Linked DNA regions of Astyanax mexicanus. Each later gene encodes a partner of the first gene's protein in a complex. Links are inferred from orthologs where the notes say so. Each region holds a gene or a part of one and is shown in the gene's direction. Other genes may lie near its edges. The genes, in order: bag3, stub1 and hspb8.

Region 1 (8,081 bases):
GAGGAGGAAAAACATATTAATTGCAAGAACTTTTTAAAAGGTTAAATACAGAATCAAATAGGGACCCTTTGTTGCTGTATGTGAAATATATAATTAGTACAAAAACATTGTTTATACAAAGTGTTTAAAAAGAAACAAATCTTACTGGATGTGTCTTTCTTCTGACTGCTTGGAGTTGTTGCCCAATTTACTTTGACTTCCTGCACATAAAAAAATCGTTTTTAAGGTTAAACAGAAGAGTTTTCATATAAAGCAAATCACTAAGAGGGAAAAAACATCTTAAACAATTGACATGGCAAAACAAAGTACCTTTCCAAGAATCTTTCTTCCGTTCATTGCGGCTAGGGCAGCTGCGGCATCCCTGTGTTCAAAGAACTCCACAAAGCAATATGGGTCATTGCTTGTGTGCTGCAGAAAAGAAGGTCCAACAGAGTGTCACTGTTCTGACATTACAAAATAGCATGATTAGCACAATAGGACTTGAAAAAAGCAAAACATTTTCTTAGACTTCATTTAACAGGCAAAGACTTTGTAGGAAACCTAAACTTTAGTTAAAAATGAGTCTTTCAATCAGGGCTATATCCCATTCTTACCTCTGTTATCATTTTACAACTTTTACAGGGGCCAATCTGGGTGAACAACTGGAGTATCAAGTTCTCTGTGACATCCCTAGAGAGGTTCCCCACGTAACTGAAAAACAGAAAACACAGACATCCAGCATATCACAATGCTCAGAATGAGAAGTGAGAATAAAGCTTATTAGTTTAATCAATTCAGCAAAAATCTCAATGAAGCTTGCCTTTATGGCAAACCATTTTTAAATCTCTGTAATGCACTTTTTTACTAGTGGAAGCTCATTTCAGAGATCAGCTGTGATTTTGTATTAGTAAAATCAGATCTATAAAGACATTCTTACTATTCATTTTACCAGGAAGACATACCCTAGATCAAAGTATGACTACTCATACAAGTCATATCCAATCATTTAATTTATCAAAAGCCTTATCTATATGTGCACTTCTATAACAGAAATCTATAATTATTTTCTCCACTGGTAGATACTGTAATTTCAGATATCTATAATGTAATTCTGACAAATTCTATATTTGTACAACTTGAAAAGTTAATTATGGACCAGGTCTTTTTTTTATAGAGATGTGTAAATAACTGAAATTATTCTGGTATCCTGGTGAAAAAAAGTAATTCTAGATGTCTGTAATTGGAGTGTTTACTTGTAAAAATGCTAGAACGTTGATAATGTCATAGATCAGGTAAATATTTTACTAATATCTGAAATGTGAGTTTCTACTGGAAAACAAAAACGTAAATTACAGTTTTTTTTCTCAACAGCAGATTTCTTCACCTTACAACAAACCACACTAAAATGCAAAAAATGAACGTTAAAAAAGTCCAGTATATTTAAGCGAAATACAAAGAGCTTTTAAATCTCTTTATTTTTATTGGTAAAAACTGTCAGTTCGCTGGTGTCAGAAACGGCTTGCCACATTGCCCTTATTGTTCCAGATGAGCGAAAATGACAAAGGAAAGAAAGGCTAGCGTGTCTCTTTCTTTATTAAGCTAGCTAGCTAACTAGTTTGCCACCAATAACGTTACTCTTAAGAAGAAAACTTTTCTGAAAAAGCTAATAAATAACAGTGCCACGCCAAAAGGCAGAAAAATATAGGATAAAAACCCGATGTTAGTAAACCTAAGGCTAGCTGTCTGACAGTCACATTGTTTTCCGTTTAAAAATGCCGGAGAGGGCATTTCTGTAGCTTACAGACGGGCTGCCAACAGTTGTAGCCGTTTCTATAAATAGATCAGAACACTAAAACAATGACAACAAATAACAGAACAAAGTTGGCATTTCGTCGGGAAAATGTCTAGAAGAACAATAACCGTTCGTGTAAAGGGTGCACGGCACTGTAGTCTGTTATTAGGCCTCTGAAATCCAGCAGTGAGCGGCTGTGTGTCAGACAATAGCTAACGTTAAACAAGCGGCTACTGCTAGGCAGCTAAAGCTAGCTAGCTACTTTAGCTATCCCTTTGAAATTATTTGCTAAGCTAAGTTAAATTACTAGTCTATTTCATTGGATACGAGTCCATAATAAATTATAAAATTCTGCTTGTGGAGTTGGTTAATTATGTAACGGTAGACATGTAGCTATGACACCACATACAGCCCTTTATATAACTCAATTTTGTTTCACATAGCTACTCATATAACGTTAACTTACTTTAACTTGGACGGCTAACGGCGGCTAGCTAGCTGCTAGCCCCGCTCACAAGCTAACTATCTATGCAGCTAACGCTAGCTACTTATATTACCCATAGATAAACTGGCTAAGCTAGCTAGCAACCGTTGTTAGCTAGCAAGCAACGAGCTAGCAAACAGAGGTGAGCAGCAGTTCACACATCAGGCAGACAACACAACTCACTGACAACTCTGCACACTATGATTTTCACAGAGTTTAAACAGTTCTAGCCCTGTCCCTGAGCGCACATCTCTGTCTGAGAGGAGAAAAAAGACCCCAGAACAGGTTACGCTCCCGTTAAGTGAACGACTGTGGTTTAGAACACTCCAGTCTAAACGTATAGACAACTATCCCGCTCTAAAGTACTCACAGGGTTTTTGGGTGGCAGTCGTCTTCCATTCTCGGATGTCGTGCTAAGTCTTCGTGTAACCTCTCAACGGCTCCTGTGCCCTGTTATTTTGGTTAAAAGAACGCCAGACCGATTTAAGCTAGTTACTTTCTTTATTGTGTAGAAAATGGCGAAACCCGGCCAGCTAGGAATCCAGCCAACGCGCATGCGCGCAGCATCACGGGGTTGAGCACTGTTGAGCGAGTGCGAGCGCGTTCAAGCCCACAATAGCAAGTAGAGCGTAGCCTCAACACAGCGCAGTATGTGTGTAGACATATATACAGTTTGGGGGGGGGAACACCTAAAAATTATGATTTGTTTTTAATTTAATTGAATTTTTGCTTGAATTTTTGCTCCAGGAGTGGCATAAAGTTATCCTAAAGCATTTTGTAAGATTAGTGGAGAAGAACTTGACAAGATGCATGAAAACTGTGATTAAAACGGATGATTATTTCACCAAATATTCTGAACTCTTAAAACTTAATTAATAAGAACTTTATTATTGCATTATTTGAGGTTTGTAAGTTTTGCATCTTTTTGTTATTTCAGCCATTTCTCATTTTCTGCAAATAAATGCTCTAAATGACAATATTTTTATTTGGAATTTGAGAGAAATATTGTTAGTAGTTTATAGAATAAAACAACAATGCTCATTTTACTCAAACAGAGACCTATAAATAGCAAAATCAGAGAAACTGATTTAAAAAATAAGTTTTCTCTCATTTTTTCCAGAGCTCTATGTGTTTGTGTATGAGGCTTCACAGTAAGATATCCTAATGGAACCAGCAAAAATGTTTTTGTTTTTCTATTATTTTTTTTTATTATTTAATTAGTATGGTTAGGGTGCTTATATATATATATATATATATATATATATATATATATATATATATATATATATATATATATATATATATATATATATACACACACAAAAACAGAAAACAGAAAAATATATAAAAATATATATTCAGCTATAGGGAATGATTCTCCAGTATGTAGCCATGTGCCACTAGTACCAATATTTGATATGCAGAAAATTACAAAGTTTTGGATATATGTGTAAACTAATTGTGCAACAATAAACATTTACAACTATTACTACAACTACTCTAGGCATAGGTCATTGTGTGGGCTATGTGATGAAAATTAAAATGGTAATAATTTGCTTAAGGACATCTATTAGTGATTGTATTTTGAAGTGATTTTATTCCAAATTCCTCTTCTCTTGCTCTATAATTTAATTTTCAGTGGTCATTGCAGATGAGTTTGAGCATAGGAAAATGTATTAATGCAAATCAATAACTTCTTAATGCAAAATGTCTCTAATCATTCCCACGTAGCATTATACAAATATGCAGATTCCTGCACCCTTTTTAGAACATGTGGGGAACTTGATTTACTGAGAGATTAATCCCACATTGGCTTGCTTTAATGTAGTCTATGATCAGGAATTACATGCTAGTTGAAACTAATAAAATACCTCAGCAAATGCATAAGAACATGGAACATAGTCTCATTTTTCTGATGTCCAACACATTTAGTGATTTCCCTAGATTTGACAATTAACATTATGTACATAGCATATGTACACCTCTACTTTACCTCAAGTACATGGTTTGTGTACTTTGTCCACCATGTTGAAAACAGACGGATTGTATCAGATCAGTGTGGAAAAAGGGATGTTACGGGCAATCATTAAACTGGACTAACTTTCCAGGACAGGAAAAGATGACCCCTGCACTGAACAAACATGGTGGCAGTATAGTTCATGCTGTACTGCTGCACTTTTTTCATACACAGTATATCAACCTGTTAACCATAAAATGACCAGAATGATAAGTGTATCATGCTGCCTGTCATTTTTTTGCATTGTAGGCTTGATATAGCTGTGGTGTGGTCTGAATAATTGCTATTAGTCACTTGCTGTTAGTCAGTTGCTTGCATTTGATATACCAGGATTATAGGCAAAAGTTGACACTGTATGTTCTAGAAATGTCTAGAAAATCTAATCTTAATTTTGATAGCATAAGACTCTAAATGCTGAGGAGTGCCCTTCTGTCCTTCCCGTATGTTTTTTTGTCCCTGCCCTTCAAACATCTTTTGTTTCTATACATCTCAAAATATTTTAATATTTTAAATTTTCACATAAGGTTCTATTTTCTTTAGATTCTTCAGCATTGTCTCTAAATTATTTAATATTAAGGATTTTTTGTCATTCAAAATTATTTAATAATATTCTAATCAAATATTATTATTTTTTTTTACATAAGCAGAAGCTTATAGACGTATCCATTCTAAAGGGGTAGGTCAAGCCTCCAAGACTCAGCTGTGTTCAGCCCACTAGAACTTTCTCAGCAGCCCACCAGCTGCTTCGAGAAACCCACCCCCAGTCAGCCGTACGTCATCACATCGGTCCTTTAAAGGATCCGTGTGCGCTGTCATGGCACAATATTCAAGAGCGAGACTACAGCAGAGCATGAAAACACTGTCTCCTGTGGAAGCGATGGCTACGAATGACCCCCTGCCGCCAGGATGGGAGATCAAGATTGACCCTCAGACCGGCTGGCCGTTCTTTGTGGATCACAACAACCGCGTAACGACGTGGAACGACCCGAGACATGACTCTAAGAAGGTAGGATCTGCGGAGAGAGCCGTCGTGGCGCAGTCGCAGAACTGCCATGGAAGAAGTTGCGCTCTCACGTCCCTGTCGCTTCTCTGCTTTGCTTTTTTGCGGAGTGTCAAATAATGTGGCTGACAGGTGGTCTCCGGTGGGCTGGAGGGGGGGAGGCTTTGGTCTTTAGCTAGCTGTTTATTTGCTATTTGCTCTAGTGGACTGGTGGTGGACGTAGGCGTGAATAGTTTTTTAGCATAACTTTGTGTGGGTGATCTGATTTAACTGGCTACATTATTATAGACTGCGTTGATGTCTACATTCCGCTACATACATTATAATAAAAAAGCCTATAGAGAGACTTTTAAATAGCCAGTGGAGATACGTCGTATAGGCTGCTGGAGATACTTCTAAAGGTTCTGAGCTGAGCGGAATTATTAGTTGATTATTACCTTGGTTAGTTGGCTAGTTGAATGACATCAGGCCACATTCCTGAAATAGCGCCTCATATATTCTTTGTAGCTACCAGCTATCACGCTGTGTATAATATTTTAGTGTTATGATCTAAGCCGGCCAGCCTGCTTTTAGTGCGTGTGACGCACTGCAGTTGCATGTAGCCAAGCCTTAAGACTCGGAGTGTTTCAGAGTCTCCATAATGGTTATTTTTAAAGAGGCTGAAGCTCCACACACACACACACGCACAAACACACGCGCACACACACACTGCGTTTGTTCGGGAATATCGCCGCTGGAACTGCGCGCTATCATGTCTGTCCTCTAAAGTTTCCCTTACATGGGATTTGAGACGGATCCACCCTCTCTCTGAGCGCGTCGGTGATGACCAATGAATGGGTCGATACTTGGAAAGGCAGAATCATGGTGATTCAGTTGTTCAATTTCGTCAAAAAAAATTAAATAAAAGGAGAAAAGTCCTACTTTACTTTACTTCACATTATAAGCTGGAAATTCTTCTAAGCTGTTAGGTTGAATCACTCACTATAGGGTGCAGACTGTAGGGCTCGCCAGTTGGTATCTCTCATTAGAAAGATCAACACGTTGCTGTTGGCCAAAGTTAGTGTCACCAAGAATCTGCTGGAAAGACACAGCTGCCAGGAGATAAAATGAGCACAAGGCCGTCTCGGTGTCCACACGTCCATGCCAAAAAGGCAGAGGACACAAGGTCATTCACCTACTTCATTCACTTTAAAGCATTTTCTTTCTTCAGTTTTCTCACCAAACTACATGCTATACTATATACAACTACTTGTAAATGTATCCTAATTTTAGGTTAAACCAAAGCTAAACCAAATATAAGCCTTATTGTGTGGACCGACCAGGTTTAAAGACCTGACCACCTCCACCACCAGCACCACCACAATATCAAAATTTTTGTTTTGATTGCTGTCCCTCCCTGTGTGGGATGAGAGATTGTCTGGGGCCCATACCTCTGATTCACACTGATGAGTAAGGGAGGCCTTTTCTTTCTCATCATAGATCTGCTTAGTGACGCCCACCCCCTCACAAAGTGTATTTTAAGCTCCAGTGTCAACTAAACAGCAACCCATTCAACATACACACATGCACACACATACGCACACATAGAAACACATAACATGAGTCATGTAATATATGTACAGTAGCCTGTATAACTTCTGTATAGCTGTTGAACAGCCTATAGTTGCATGTAAAATGATTTATACTGTGAATGTGCTCTTTGCTCAGCCCTCACCCCATTGTTAAAACAGATTACTGTACATAAGTTGAGTTTAGCTCTAAATTTGTTGACCACACTGGGAAATTTCATACTTGATTTATACCACACTACTTTCACATGGCTTTACTTTAGCACAATTTGCAAAGATCATAAAGCACACTGTAACCATAAATATTTACAACTTTACAACAACCCGAAACTGAAATTAAAAGGCTAACAGCTTGTAAGACATAACACTGCACCATAAATCTTAGAAACTTTAATGCAATACTTACTTAAATTAAATTATTGCAATTTACAATTTACTCCACCTCTGTTCTTCGATAGTATGTCCTTAAATAATAGTTTGAATCATGGAAAATCAATGGAATATTCTGCCTGTGATGAAACGATACTTGTTTTCCTTACGGTCATCAGCGAGGTGATACTTTTGACATTGTGTGTAGGTATTTCACAACATCTAATTATCCTGCACATACCAACGGAGCACTCTCACATCTTACAGGAAAAAACAGGCTTGTGCTTATTATTTATGCTTGTTTTTTACATTTAATTTTGGACAGTCAGCCTGTTTTGTAATTAAATTATAGTCAAACATTTTATCATCTCTCTTCTCATACATTAAAATGCAAAGTTCATTAATAATAAAGGATAAAGTAGGGCCAAGAAAAAAAATGAAAACAGTGAAGAAAGCATTAGAGTGTAGAGTCTTCTATGGATTAAAGCAGCAGTATATTTGTCATAGTGTACAGGATTTCAAAAATATGAAAATTTATAGTATTCTATATAGTGGGTCAGTTTTGTTAATACAGTGATTAGAGTGACTAAATGTTATTTTGGTATTGTGACACACCACCAAAGGGGAACAGGCATATCTTTTCAGGGTAAAATTTATTTGATCTGACTTCAGATTTAAATTTGTTAAATACGAAAAACAATGAGGGATGACTTTTTTACTCAATGATTAAAATTGCTTGTTGATTTGTAAGAGATATTCTGCTAAAGACCCATCAGCCCCGTAAAGGTTCTGCTTTAGCCTACTGTTACTGCTACTGCTGCGAATAATACGCAATAAAATGTATACTTTTATACCATTTGTCAGTAGGGGTT
Region 2 (7,132 bases), on another chromosome or scaffold:
GACCATCAAATATCAATCTGGATTAGTCTTCATATATCAACAATCCGTTTTCATGTGATTTATTAATGTCCAGGTTGTCACAAATCAATCAGGATACTAGATAACTATGCTAAAATCCTATTTCATGTATTTTCTGTATGTCCAGACTATATCAAACATTAATCTGGATTGAGTCTAGATCTGGTAAAAATCTGATTTGGGCTGGGTCTGAACACTTTGGGCTTGGAGATCACCACTCTACACTGAGCACTGAACTGCAGAACTGTAGGTAAAGGGAATTAAGAGTGCTGAGCTAGCCGTCGTTCGGTCGCATTACAGTCTTTATAGTGTTTAGTATTTGGGGGTAAACGGCTGCATTTACAGAATTCGCCACGTTTTCAGCCAATTATTCTGTTTACTATGTTCATTTCTTTTATTTTAGTTTTGTTCCCCCTTTTTATGTTGATCTGTTTAGACGGTGGAGCTCTTTACCGTGTACCTGTACTGTTTCGTAGAGTGTGTGAGTGCGAGTGTGTAAGAGAGTGTGTGTGAGGTGGCTCAGGCTTTATTTAAAGCTGCTCTGAGGTCAGTTTGACAGCCCGTGAATGTGTGTGTGGGTGTATGAGTGTGTGTGTGTGTGAGTGTGTAAATAAACGTAGCTGCACGTTCTCCTCCCTAAACAGACAGGAAGAAGTCCTGCTGTCTCCTCCAGTAGCAGAAGACCAGGCTAGAGATCAGTAACGCCGAGTGAGTGAGTGATTCATGGCCGAGTCCAGTTCTCTGATGGTTTATTCTTTCAGGTCTCAGATGTTCCTGTTCTTTTATAATGCAGTTATGATTCATGTTGTCCTAATCTAACTCATTAAATGGATTTTATGAACTTGAACCCGTCTGTCTCTGCATGTCCGGTTACGACCCATCCTGTAAAATACCATATTGAATCGATACGAGATGTTATTTGTTTTGTATTTCCATAAATGTCCAAAACACACATCCTGATTTTAAAGTTGAAAAAGGCTAAAAATGGGAGGGGTGGTTTGAGAGGGGCACTATAGGTGATGTATGGGTTTAGATGCGGAGCAGGAAGGAGAGCTGATTGGGCTGAGTAGTGTGCCTCTGATATGTATTATTGATTATTGACTGATTTGCATATTGTGATGTGTTTGTGTACCAAAGTACACAGAAACATCATCCTGGCCTATAGCACAGCTGAACCTGAAGGGGAGCTGCAGAGGCAGAAACTACCACAATAAAAGCATTTTTTTTAAAGGTTAGAAACTTTCTAAATTTTTTAAGCAAGACTAACACGTTTTATTACTTCAAACGAGCTGCAAAGACCCACTTTATATTTTGAGGGAAGAAACTCCCAACTAATCAAAACGTCTAGGGTTTAAGGAGGCAACAACATAAACGTCAGTTTTCAGTAAATATGTATTAAAATCAAGACAAATCACTTAAATACACAAAAAGAAAATTTAACAACAACTTCAGGGTGAGCTTAATGCCACGATATCCAACAAAACAAATCTTAACCCAGCCCCCAGCTAACTTACCTGGAACCACAACGAAATAAAATAAAATAAAAAAAAGACAGAAAATAACTTAAGTTTAAGTAAGGCTTTTACAAACAGACCACCTGCTTGAATCATCCAAAAGGCAGCCAATCCACAGGCCTATGTGAGGTCAGCTGACTTTCCCCTCCAGATCACCTGAGTGCGTGGGAGCTTCACCTGAAAAACTGAAATAAAAAAATTAATTCAGCGTACATTTCAGCTATTGTGATGATAATTTATTTGAATAATACACAGTAATATTACCCAATGTAAATATTACATATTGCTATTTAAAGTAATAGTCTGTTTTAATACAAAATAGTTATAAAAAACGACTTTTCTATTTAAGCTTAAAGTAAACGTTGTGTGATGATAGATCTTTTAAAGGAGTAAACATCAAACAGTATTAAAATATATTTAAAAAAAGTGAATATGCTATATTTAATAGCATATATGTAACACTAGAGAACACTAAATAATGATTTAAAATCTGTAAATATATACAGAAATTAGACTCAATAAATTAAAAACAATATTTGCCTTTTTTTGTGTCTGTGTTGAATGCCTATTAAATTGTCTCTTTTACTGGTATATCGCTGAACAGTAATTGACGTGATTTGTTTTGCATTTCCAATAAATGTGAAAAAAACATATAAAGGATCATTTATTTAATTTAACAGCAGATTTTTAGCTGATATAAATATTGAATATGAAAATTTAAACAACAAATCATACTAATGCATTAACTCTTGATAAATAAAAAGAAAATGTTTGTAGCGCTTTCTGTTTAATTTGTGTGAAAATATATTTATTTTTGGGGAATACAGTGATAAGTGGTCATTATACAAATTAGATTATTAGTGTGGTTTAACTGTTTAAATGACCCGACTTACATTTTTTTTTAGCTTACAAGACAGACAGCAGACAAATATGGTTTAATTTATTTAGCAATTAACAGTCATCCCTCTCTACTGCTCTGGGTTACCGCTGCAGAAACGAATAAAATAAAATAAAGCATAATAAAATAAAGTGGTCGTATTTTAATGTCTGAAAGGAGGCACCTCCTAACAGGAGCTGTGCTGCCAGGGGAAAGCGATGGGTCAGCAGAGTGGAGTCCAGAGAGGAGAAAGCCCTGGATCAGCTGGATGAGCTCAGCAGAACACGCCCAGCTCACACTACACTCAGCTTTCACACCAGCACTATTTGTTCTGGTTAAAACAGACTCTGATTGGTTTGTACTCTTAGTGCGGTTTAATTGAGCAGGTGCGAAAACAATAATCACACAGTAATTCTCACTTGTGGTGAAAACGTGATCTGGTCTCGATCCGACTCAGATATCAAATATACTTCTTTTATTTGAGCTAAACTGCTGATAAGGTGCAGTTTAATCTGATATAATTACCACAGCTATGAACAAATGCTGCTTCATGCTGTTTACGCTCTAAGAGCGTGGTCTGTGCTGCGTTTACTGCTCACAGTTGTGTGACTCTGTTTACTATGTGTACATATGCGCTGCACGTCCCATTGAAAACACTGTGTTTAAAAGAGCTGCAGCAAATTTTCTGTGTTCTGTGTTAAATCAGCTTCACACTGCACTGATTTACAGATATACACACTGGAACTTCTCACTATATTTACTTTTTTACTCCCACACAAGACAGTGCTAGGCATTGACTACTGCTTAAAGTGTACTTTAATTTACATTATACTTTGTAAAGTGTATTAAAAATTATGTTAAAAAAAAAAACTTGAATCTAATTAAGTTCACAGATGTTATACAAAAAGCACTCAAATGCACAAACTCCTAATTTTATGTTGTATTTAAATATAGCTTAATTACAATTGAAATATACAATCCTAATGCGTGGCCACAAGTTATTGGGAATGAGATAATTAAGGTGTGGGAACAACATAATTAAGTTGTAGCCAGAGAATAATAAAGCTTGCTTTTCTGTAAATTAATGCACATGAGCGAATAGCTTTCCCACATTCCCTTGAACCCTCTGTGAGCTGATGTAACAGAACTGAGTCGCTGTGCTTTAAGTTGTGGCCACAGCTTAGGAACTAATTCCTATGCCTTAATAATAGTCATAGCCACTCATAATTATTTTTTTTTACATGACGTCACATAAGGGGCTACGTAGAAATAAACTTAAGTTGCCATAAGTTTTGGCCACACCTTAGGATCTCATTCCTATGCCTTAATAAGTCGTGGCCATGCATTATTAAATATTTTTACATGGTGTCATCTTAGGGGTTCCGTTTTAGTATGTATTTAAGTAAGTATTGATTTTAATGCTAAAAGTACGTGTTTTTCTATGTTAATTATACTTTTAATAAATATACTTAAATACACTTTTTTATTACAGGGGAAGAAGGCTTGTCCTGCCTAGCAACAGTATCTACCGAGAATCCAGCTGAACCGACTCTCTGAATCAGGAGTCAGTCTGAACTGAACAGCTGTAAACTGCGTGTTCATTAACTGAATCGATTCAGTGCGCTGACGGGACTCGGTTCTCCGGGTACATGTCCGCGGCTGTACGTCACGGTGGAAAACAAGCCGAGCTTTAGCTTTAGCGGCTCCGCAGCGGCGCGAGGATGAGCGGCTCCCTGTAGCCGCGGAGAGAAAGACCGCAGTTCTGGGTTTATTATTATAAAGAGCAGAAACCGGAGATGAACCCGCGAGTCGCTTAAACCGCGGGGCGCACGGAGCGAGCAGCCCGCCTGCCGGACAGAGCTGCTAGGCTAAGCTAAGCTAACGGCGGAGTCTGCGCGGCGCTGTGACCGGGGGAGGAGCGTGGGCGCCGGGCAGAGCGCTGAGTTTACCACCGGTAGGTCCCGACAGCAGCCGGAACCGGAGCAGGCCTATTCCATCAAATAACAGCGAGTTTCAGCTTCTTACAGCGGATAAAAGCTTATTAACTCCACTATTAGCGCGTTCGTGTATAAATTAATTCAATATTTATCTGTTTTTAGTCATTTTTAAGCGTTTTGTGTCATTAGAGCCCTGTTTTTGCTCTCTCTTTCCTGATGAGCAGCCCTAATCTAGGGCTGCAGCTAACGATTATTCTGCTAGTCGATTAATCGACTAACTAGTCGATTATTTAACAGAGTAGTCGAATAGTCAGCTATTATTTCTGCCATCTCTTTCTTCCATCTTTGCTATAGGTTGTATCTCTTTCTCTATCTTCCTCCACTTCAAAACGATATAAACAGCAGAACATGGGATTTAAATGCCAAGAAGCCTTGGATTTCACTTTAAGTAAACCTGTAGAAGCTATCCGCTCCCTGTGCCATGTGTGTGGTTACATGATTGGAAGAGCATATTGTAATGTGACGCTTCCACATAATACATTATTGCTGCCTTCACGTCCTCCTTGGAAAACTCTTTTGTTTTAGGTTGGATGTCGTAATTACTCGACATGCATTCAAGTGTATTTTGGTCGGGTGGAAATGGACGCCATTAGGAAAATCTTTTGTTTATACTTTTGGTTTATGATTCTAAAAAAAAAAAAAAAACCTGCAGGTTTATTTTGCCCTAATCCAGGAGTATAAAGAGTGATAAAGACACGCATTAGTTAAGTGATGGTTTTATCCCATTAGAACTATGAATCATACTAGACTTTTGATTTATTAGTTAGCTAATCACAACATGCAAGTGTTCAAGTGTGCATCAATTTATTTAATTTATTTATCAATTTAAATAACAGTAAAATTATTATTAATTTTTTGACCTCTTGTTACTGACACGCCCCCAACTGGGAAACTCTGTGCTAATCTAAAAATCCGAGTTTCCCACTTTTAAATACAGTTTGTTCAGAGTTTGTGGTGGCCTTAATGTGCTCTCCTCTCATAAATATGATATTTCCAACACCATTTGAAGGCAGCATAATTCCTTTTCCGTGTGTTTATTGCAATTTAATCACTCTGTGATAGGACTGGAGCGAGAGTACTGTAATAATAAAGCGCACTGTAATATGCTCTAATCGATGCATGGTTCTGAAGTTTATGTATATGAATATAAACCAGTGATAATGATCCCCTTTCCCAGATGTTCATATATTGCCACCCTTGGCCGTTTAATTTTTTTTTACTGATTGAGTTATTGTTCATCCAGAGAAAACTAGTTGAGTTGTTTTAGAGTTGTATTTGAGTCTGGATCCTGTGTTCACTTTTTGGATTTGCAGCTCGAGGGCAGAGGCATCTCTCCAGGTGACCCCGGGAGCGCCGGTGCCCCAGCCGAAGAGACGGGGAACAGGATTGGGAAGCAGGGGGGAGCGGCCACCGCAGAGCCTGTGGAGAAGATGCAGGCCGGCAGCCCGGAGAAGAGCTCCTCCTCAGCGCAGGAGCTGAAGGAGCAGGGCAACCGCCTGTTCCTCTGCCGCAAGTACCAGGAGGCCGCGGCCTGCTACAGCAAAGCCATCGTAAGTGTGGAGGAGCCAGAGAGTGGGACTGGGAACTGGGGGAATATCGTTAATCTTTTTAATTTAAATATCAATACTCAATACTCTGATAGGAGTACTTTTAGGTAATTGATGAGGATTGTATGCAAGTATGAATAAGTAAAGATTATTTATACTGAATGTTTATTTATACTCACTTTTTTAGCACTTTATTATTTTAGCTGAGTGCTTTATGGAAGTAAATTCATTATTAGAATAGCACACAAAGTATTTAGTCAGCCACTGATTATTGTGCGAGTTCTCCAACTTACAAAGATGAGAGAGGTACGTAATTTTCATCATAGGTAAATAAATTCAGTAAATTATGGTGGAAAATATTATTTGGTCAGTAACAAAAGGTTTGCACTCACTATAGCTAGAGTTTTGGCCCATTCCTCCATGCAGATTCCCTCTAGAGGAGGCAGTAATAACACAGAGTTTCAACCTTGAAATGCTTCTTATAAAGCCACTTCTTTGTTGCCCGAGTGTTGTGTTTGTGGTCATTGTCATGCTGGAAGACCCGGCCATGTTCCATCTTCAAGGCTCTCACTGATGGAAGGAGGTTTTGGCTTAAAATCTCATGATACATGTCTTCATTCATTAATTCTTACCATGATATTTTCCCAATCCTCTGCTGGATCATCCACATGCTCTATGGTGAACTTCAGTCGGGCCTGGATATGTACTGGTTTATGCAGGGAGACATGTTTGGCACTGCAGGATTTGAGTCCCTCTCTGTGTTTTACTGAAGTTTGTCTTTGTTACTTTGGTCCCCAGCTTTCTGCAGGTCATTCATCTGGTCCCTCTGTGTAGTTCTGGGATTTTTACTCCTTGTTCTCATGATTGTTTTGATTCCACAGGATGAGATCTTGCATGGGGCTCCTGATCGAGGAGGATTATCAATGGTCTCCTATGTCTTTCATTTTCCAGTTGATTTATTCACACAGACCAACCAATAAATTGTTTACCTCTTTTAATTTTTTTTATTTTTTATTTTTTTTTTACTAAAATTACTTAAAGTGCTAACCAGAAACAAGCAAAGGTACAAGTTTAGGTACTGACACAATGCACCTTCAAACCTCAAAAAACAAATAGAAAGAAAAAATAAAATGGTGCCCTTTTTGATAAAACTTACAAAATAGAAAACAATTTAATATG
Region 3 (7,923 bases), on another chromosome or scaffold:
AGTGAGTTTTTTAGGTTTTATTAAAGGCGAGGAGACGAATCTACCGGAAAAACACCTACATGATCGTTCTGGACGGGAATAAAATCACAGAGGATAAAAAAAACATAAAATAGAAAATTACCCAGAACCCCCTGAAAAAATAATCCTGTCCGGATAGAGCTTTAGCCCCACTTATCTTTTTCTTTTACATGTTTTTTATGAACACGTCAAAAATCTTGAAACAGAGGGATAAATATTTATAATTGTTACACAATATACCACACGTTCTCTTACACCACTAATATTAAAGTTGAGCTCGTTGATTGGTTTATCAAACTCTGGTAAACTAGCTGAACTAGCGGTACCTTTTTACGTTTTTATGTTTTTTCTTCTTTTTGATTTTATCGGATTAGTTTTTCAGGAAAGAGATGATGATGTTATCTGGGAAAGGCTGCTGTGTTTCAGGTTAAAAACAACAACCTGTAAGAATCCATTTTTCCTCCATCAGCACCACTCTCCTTTTCCTTTTGATTTTTATTGTTATTTTTCTGTATTTTTCAGGTTTTTTTCTCAGGTTGTCAGTTTTGTTGAGTTAGAGAGATGTATGGTTTGTTTAACGGGTTTCTGGCTCCGGCCGGCGAGCTGTCGGCTCAAATGCCAGCGGTGTTTATCTTCAGCCCGAGAGAAAACACCGTGACGACGGTGACGGACGATCAGAACCGCAGTCGAGTTTCTGTCCGTCAGAAACGCCGGATTTTACTGCAGGAAAAAAATAATCTGTTTAGAAAGAGAGACCAGCAGGGGGAGCCTTCAACTCCTCTATACACTAAATATACACGCAGATATACGGTTATATACTGTATAATAAGGGACTGATTGATCACAAAGATAACTTGGGAAATCTGTCACAAATTGGATGATAAACCGGCTGTTTTAATTTTAAATACATAATTTTATAATGTATTATATTAATGATTAATATTATTTATTACTATATTAATTTAATTATAATGATTTCAGTCCCATTCCAGAGCACAGTTAATAGATAATGTAATATTCTTAAGCCTTTATTTTCTTTTTTTTTTTCTTATTTATTATCATTGATTTTTGTATTTGTTTACTCCTTTTATCTCAGGTACATTAATGTAAAGGCAGCCTATTTTATGAAGTCTTATTTAACTCTTTTATAATCTTTTCTAATTTATAGTTATGCTTTTCTCATATTTATTATTATTATTAGTTTGAGCATTTAATATTTCATATTTTATACTTTTTTATTTATTTTCTTTATGAAAACGTGCATGTACTGCTGGATGAGTAAATGAAGCTTCGGGTAAAATGTGATTTATCATAATCTGGTACTCTGGAGTAATGTGAGTATTATTTATAGAGATATACAGCACTTTACAAATGTTTTATTCCCGTAATTACAGTATAATAACTGGTTAGTGCTAATGAAAATTATTTATCGATTAATTAATACTTCTCATCTTTTTTACACATTTAATCTGAAACTTTATAGGAATTATTTGTCCCACTTTATAATAAGTATTGGTAATAACTGTGTAATTACACATCAACAACCTTGTAATAACAGTGTAACTACTGGTTATGTTTTTAATTGATTCGATTTAAATAGTTAATTAAATTAGTATTTATTAAGTATTTTGGATTTAACTGAGAAAATAAACACTTACTGTCCAGATTTAACACTTTATAATAAGGGAACATTAATTAACATTACAGTGCTGCTAATTAATTAATTGATGTACTTTTATTGTAAAGATTTTATTTATACAATATTTTTAAAGGGGACTAAATTTTTTGCAAAGTGCTGTATATTTATATAATGCAATACATTTAAATACAATTACAGAAATTATCTTTATTACCTGAAAAAGTCTGTATTTACTGTTTTAGACTGATAAACTGTAAAAGGGGTCCAAGCACTAATTACACTGCGGTTAATTTATCATTGTTTTATGTTGTTTTATTTTTGTTGTATAACTCTATTTATCTATTGGTTATTTATTGTTTGCCACTTCATTGTGTTTTTTAATATTATTTATATGATTAATTTATTAATTTAATGGTTAATTTTGAGTGTGTATGAAGGCGTTCTCTGGCTCTATGCACTGTAAATAATAAAATAAGGGTTTAGTTCTGCTGTACAGGGAATTATGGGAAAGGATCTGCTGGAGGAATGTGATTTATTATTATCAGGAATAATAAGAGCGATTCTGATTTAAATCTGATGTTTTATGTAAATCTGTGTGTAAATAATCTGAATAATGATGTGAGTTATGTGGGCATGTGTGTAGTGTAATTGAACAGCGGCGGCGGGGGTCTGTATATAACTACACTATAATCATATATACAGTAAATAATGATATATAATGATATATATATATGTCTTATCCGTCTACATGTAAAAGAAATAGTACAGAAAACCTGGAAACAAACCATGAACTTTATAAACACACATTTCTGTTCAGCACAATTTTTTAATGATTATTATTTATCAATTACAATATTTATATTTATATATATATATGGAACTAAGAACTAATATGATGGATGTTCTGTAGGGCTGGGTGATATATTGATATATTTATATTTTAATATATATTATCTACACTAGAGTATACTGATACTAATAAACAATGTTATTGATTTTCAGATCAAACAGATAAACATAAATACAGTAAAAATAACAGGAATTTATTTTTCTTAATAAGTAAAAATAGCAGAATCCATTAAATAATCACTAACCATGTTCATTAAATTCTAGCAGATTTATTGTTTTCGCTATAGCTAAAATAAAACTGTATAAACATTAATAAAGATAATTCCAATTTTAACTAATCTTCCAAAAAATGCTCCTTTTATAAACTATGATGTCATAAAAAGCCATAAAGTGTCATAAGCTGATATTTATCATTGAAAACCAAAAGTAAACTTTCTTTTTATATCTGTAGAAATCCGTACTGATTAACGTTTAGGTAGATTTTCATCAGTTTTTTCCCAAAGATCCTGAATAAAAAAACTAAAATAATAAAAGTTTCTTCAGATTAAAAAATAAATAATCTTTTAAAAGACCTAATGAACCTCAGAAAATTAAAGTGAAGATTATTTTTTTGTTTTTATATGTCAATGTTTATGTGTAATATCGGATTTCAAAAATTGATTTAATCTGATGAATTTCGCCCAGCTCTGCTGATCTGCTCACTAAAACGATATAATAAAATATAATATATAATAAAAATATATAAAAACTAGTCCTAATGTTTTAATAAAAAACACAAAGTGAAAACTATTAATAATTGATTAATCTGTTCTAATATTTCTGGATCCGTCATTCAGAACCGTCCGGTCCGATATTACATCATAATAACACACACATCACCATACAGTAATAACAAAGCACACAAACCCCGCCCCCTGCCCCCTCGCCCCGCCCCCCTCCTGTACTGTAATATATACAGTATACTGTGTGTAGAATAAGTGGGTAATTAGTCTTCCTCTGTTGTCTGATCTGTAATTAAACCTGATTAAATCTGTAATTAATGATAAAAAATAAGTAAATAAATAAATAATAAATAAATAAAACCTCTTTTATTTCCAGTTTGGCTTTGATTTTCTTACTTTAGTAATCAGTATAAAAGTGCTTCAGCGTTTAGTTTAAACCCCACCTCTCTGTTTTGATCTCATTAAGATTATTTATACAGATGATTTAAAAAATATACATTCATTTTAAAAATAGTATTTTTTTGGCAGCAGCAGCCTCTGTGAAGAAATGTGTTCAAATTAGTTTTTATTACCTAATTCTGTGTAAAATTACAGAATTTACAAAATGTTGTTTTGTGTTGAAGTGCTGTAATTAACTTTGTTAGGATAATTAAGGTGTTTAATTCGATATACACCTTTATAATGAGGATCTGAAATAACAGTATTATTATAACAGTAATAAACATTGTTAGATAGTTCAGTAATGTCTCTAATTATTATTTAACACTAGTTAAGAGATTATTAATCATAAATAAATTTGAGTTGAGACATTTTAAGACATTTGAAAAAATACTGTTAATTAATGTACCCTTATTGTGAAGTGTAATCAAAATGTTTGTGATTATATTATGATTTAGTTAAAAATATTTTTTGTCTGTTTACAAGAATTCTACAGTTAAATACTGTTTTCTCATAATTGTATTTGGTTTGTGAGAGAAAACAGAATCATTTGTTTATCAGTTTCATCAAGTAAACTTGCTGTTTTATATCTATAGGAATCAGTACTGATTAATGTTTATTTAGATTTTAATCAGTTGTCCTAAAATAGAGTTTCTTCAGATTAAAGAAACTTTTAAGGATCTAAAGAAACTCAGAACATCAGAGTAAAGAATTTTAAAATTGAATTTGAATTAATCTAAATAGAGCTTTTCTTTATTATGAACTAGTTTTATGTTGTTTTATTTGATATTTATATTTATATACTATATATTTATATGAGGGACGTTAGTTTTATAATAAATTTAGTTGTTGAGATCATTCCAGCTCCGGATGAGTAACAAACAAACAACTCAATAATCAGGTTATATTTAGGGTACAAATAAGGTTATATATAGTTTATATATAAGTTATATATATGGTTATATATGTGATACTGATGTGTTGGTGTTAAGGACTCTCGGGTCGGGTTGGGTCAGGATTCCTGCGGGACGTCCCGCTGCATCACCCCTACACTAATAGAGTAATATGTGAGTACTGGGGGGGAGGGGGAGGGGCTTACGGTGACATCATCCTGCCCTGCTCCTGCTCTGAGTGAAGTTCTATTAAAAAGCCAATGAGTCACCAGATGGGGCGGGGCATGCAGCCGGGGGCGGGGCCAGTGAGGTCCCAGGGCTATACTTGGCCGGCTGTGGGGGCGGGGCCAGTACATTCTGGAGGCCTGAGTCTGAGAGTCACACTGAGGGTGAGGAGATCCAGCAGCTCTATAAAACCCAGATCCAGAACCACAGAACCTCCTCAGAACAGAACCACAGAAACGGTGTCGGATCAGAACAGGAGAACCGGACTCTTCTGCAGCAAAACTTCTACAGATTTTTAAACTTCAGAGAAACTTCACCACTAAAAACAGCTGAACTCCCGGCACAGACTATCTGACTGTACTACTGTCTGATTATTCGATTAATCGATTATCTGACTGTCTGATTGTTCGATTAATCGATTATCTGATAATCGTGTAATCGGTGTTTGGGGGTATTGATCATGGCGGAGGGTGATTTCTACACGTTGGGCGGCAGTAGGCAGCGGATTCCGCGTAATCCGTTCTCTTCGCACTTTATGGACGATGATTTTCCGATGCCTGCGTTTCCGGACGATCTGTCGATGGATTGGCCGGGTTGGGCCCGCCCCCGGCTGAGCGCTCGCCACAGCGCCCCCTGGCCCGGTGCCCTGCACTCGTCCTTCCCCCGCCGCTACACCGAGCCGTCCCGCAGCCCCGCCCCCGGCCCCGCCCCCACCGGCCTCACCGACGAACCCTGGAAGGTTTGCGTCAACGTCCACAGCTACCGACCCGACGAGCTCAGCGTCAAAACCCGAGACGGATTCATCGAGGTTTCAGGTCAGAACTCTAACACAACTTTACATATATATATACTGTTTATATAGTGTGTATGTATGTTTATGTAGTGTGTATGTATGTATTACAGTGTATATACACTGTAATAATACAAATGAATCACTTTATAGACATAACATCTTTATACAAGCACACACTCAACAGTACATTTCAATAATGATTCATAATACTTAATAATATTATTAATTACTGATATAAGTATAAGTATAAGAATAACTGTGTAATTTCTCTTCATATATGTCCCCATATTTGAAATACACTTATAATACAGTAGTAATCGTACAGTGTTTGTAAATAACCTCAGTAAATTCCGCTGAGCTCAGTGTCGCCCCCTGTGTTTATTTAGTAAAAACAGATCATTAAGATGAATAAAGTTACTATTAATAAATCTGTAGTAAATCCTGCTGACAGTAAACAGTCAGTGATCATCATTTATTTATACAGTAATATTATTTATCTGCTGTTTTGTTGTGGAACAGTAATTATATCACCATGATCACTGAACATCACAAGATATCACAACTCAGCTCCACCCTCAGGCCTGTCCTCTATTAACCCTTTAATAACCTTTTAATAACGCTCTATTAACACTCAGAACTGGGAGAACAGCTGAAGATTAAAACTCAAAACAACTCCAGTCCTCTTTATTCCAGCTTTAGTTTAAATTAGTGCTTTTAACATTTTTATATCCAATCTGGTAATGCTTTGGTGTTTTTAGTTTTTTCTTAGCATTTGTACAGCTTTTTTATCACATTTTTTATTTTTAGTGTTTTTGTTTTTTGTGTTTTTTTAGTCCTTCTATGGAAATTTCTTAGTGTTTTAGCATTTTTGTTTTCAAAGGTTTTTGGTCCTTCTTTTGGAGTATTTTAGTGCTTTTTGGCATTTTGTTTTTAGTGGTTTTTAGTCCTTCTTTGAGAGTATTTAAGTTGTTTTAGCACTTTTTTTGTTTTTTTGTTGTTTTTAGTGCTTTTAAGTGCTTTTTTAGCATTTTGAAGTTACTACTCAGACGTTCAGAAGGCAGATTTATTTTATTTATATTGAAATACAGATTAAATATAAATCAGCACTAGTTTAGAGTGTATAGGGTCAGGCCGGGTTGGTACAGAAGTTGGAGAATGACTTGCAGATCACTGAGACTCCAGTTCAGCACCTGCTGAGATCTTTAACCAGCTCGACCCCACAGATAATATTAGCCCAGCAGCTCCAGAGCTGTAAATAACTCAGATCACTGTGGAGCCGTGGAAACCAGGGGCTGTTAAAATGATAGACTGATTACCACACATGCAGAACGTCAACCACCAATCACCAAACACCAACCAACTACCACCAACCACCAACCATTAACCATCAACCACCAACCAACTACCACCAACCACCAACCATTAACCATCAACCAATAACCATCAACCACCAAACACCAACCATCAACCACTAACCACCAACCATCAACCACTAACCACTATCCACCAATCATCCTCCACCAGCCACTAACCACCAACCAACCACCACCAACCACTAACTATCAACCACCAACCACTTACCACCAATCACCAACCACAACCCACCAATCACCAACCACCAATCACCAAACACCAACTATCAACCACCAGCCACCAACCACCAACCACTAACACATACCTAAATTTACATACCTTTTCTCCAGTCTAAATATTCACCTCTCTCTCTTCCTCTCTCTGCAGCCTTTTCCTCTGTTGTTACATAAGAAAGGCTCACCTGTGGTCTTTTTATAGAGCTTACTTCCTGATTGAAGTGCTAACAATTAACCAATGAGGTGTTTGGGCAGGTGCCGCATTTATTAGCCAATTAGCTGATGCTGTGTGATTTTGAATGGCGGTGTTTTGATATGGAAACACGTGACTTTATATCAGATTGTTGTGTTTTATGCAGATAATCGAGATCAGTGAATATAAAAAGTGTTGTTTTGATTTGCTAAATGTTGCTAAAAGCAGAAACTGGGTTTAGAGGTTTGGAGATGAGAGGTTGTATCCTCTCTGTGTGTAAAGGTAAATAATTGTGATAAACATGTGATAGAAACTGGAAACACACTGTAACTGTAAGTTTCTGAGGCTCACTCAGAGTATCTGGGTGGGGGAGGGTGGTTGATGTGCTGGGGGGGGGTGGTTGACGGGGTTCTGTGATGTCACACCGTTTGGAGAATGTTCCTGTAGAACCAGAGACAGTGTGTGACTCAGTGTTCAGTAATTAAAGCTGATTAGAGTCTGATTAAAGTCTGATTAGAATCTGATTAGAGTCTGATTACACTGAGTTTTAATATCTGGTCTGAT

What was found.
Region 2: bag3 (region 1) and stub1 share a complex: the UniProt entries of both Homo sapiens proteins name them as parts of the chaperone-assisted selective autophagy (CASA) complex. The link is inferred for Astyanax mexicanus from reciprocal best matches to the Homo sapiens genes BAG3 and STUB1.
Region 3: bag3 (region 1) and hspb8 share a complex: the UniProt entries of both Homo sapiens proteins name them as parts of the chaperone-assisted selective autophagy (CASA) complex. The link is inferred for Astyanax mexicanus from reciprocal best matches to the Homo sapiens genes BAG3 and HSPB8.

What each region holds. Positions count from the first base shown.
Region 1 is NC_064414.1:37,723,771-37,731,851, reverse strand, and holds the start of bag3 (BAG family molecular chaperone regulator 3), read left to right. Parts: upstream 1-5,063; 5' UTR 5,064-5,086; coding exon 5,087-5,278; intron 5,279-8,081. Other genes in the region: tial1 (nucleolysin TIAR), read right to left, coding at 146-200, 310-408, 594-690, 2,626-2,654. UniProt on the Homo sapiens protein: Co-chaperone and adapter protein that connects different classes of molecular chaperones including heat shock proteins 70 (HSP70s), e.g. HSPA1A/HSP70 or HSPA8/HSC70, and small heat shock proteins (sHSPs), e.g. HSPB8.
Region 2 is NC_064413.1:56,075,478-56,082,609, reverse strand, and holds the start of stub1 (E3 ubiquitin-protein ligase CHIP), read left to right. Parts: upstream 1-4,028; 5' UTR 4,029-4,363; intron 4,364-5,719; 5' UTR 5,720-5,836; coding exon 5,837-5,956; intron 5,957-7,132. UniProt on the Homo sapiens protein: E3 ubiquitin-protein ligase which targets misfolded chaperone substrates towards proteasomal degradation.
Region 3 is NC_064429.1:38,598,909-38,606,831, forward strand, and holds the start of hspb8 (heat shock protein beta-8), read left to right. Parts: upstream 1-4,892; 5' UTR 4,893-5,244; coding exon 5,245-5,599; intron 5,600-7,923. UniProt on the Homo sapiens protein: Involved in the chaperone-assisted selective autophagy (CASA), a crucial process for protein quality control, particularly in mechanical strained cells and tissues such as muscle. Displays temperature-dependent chaperone activity.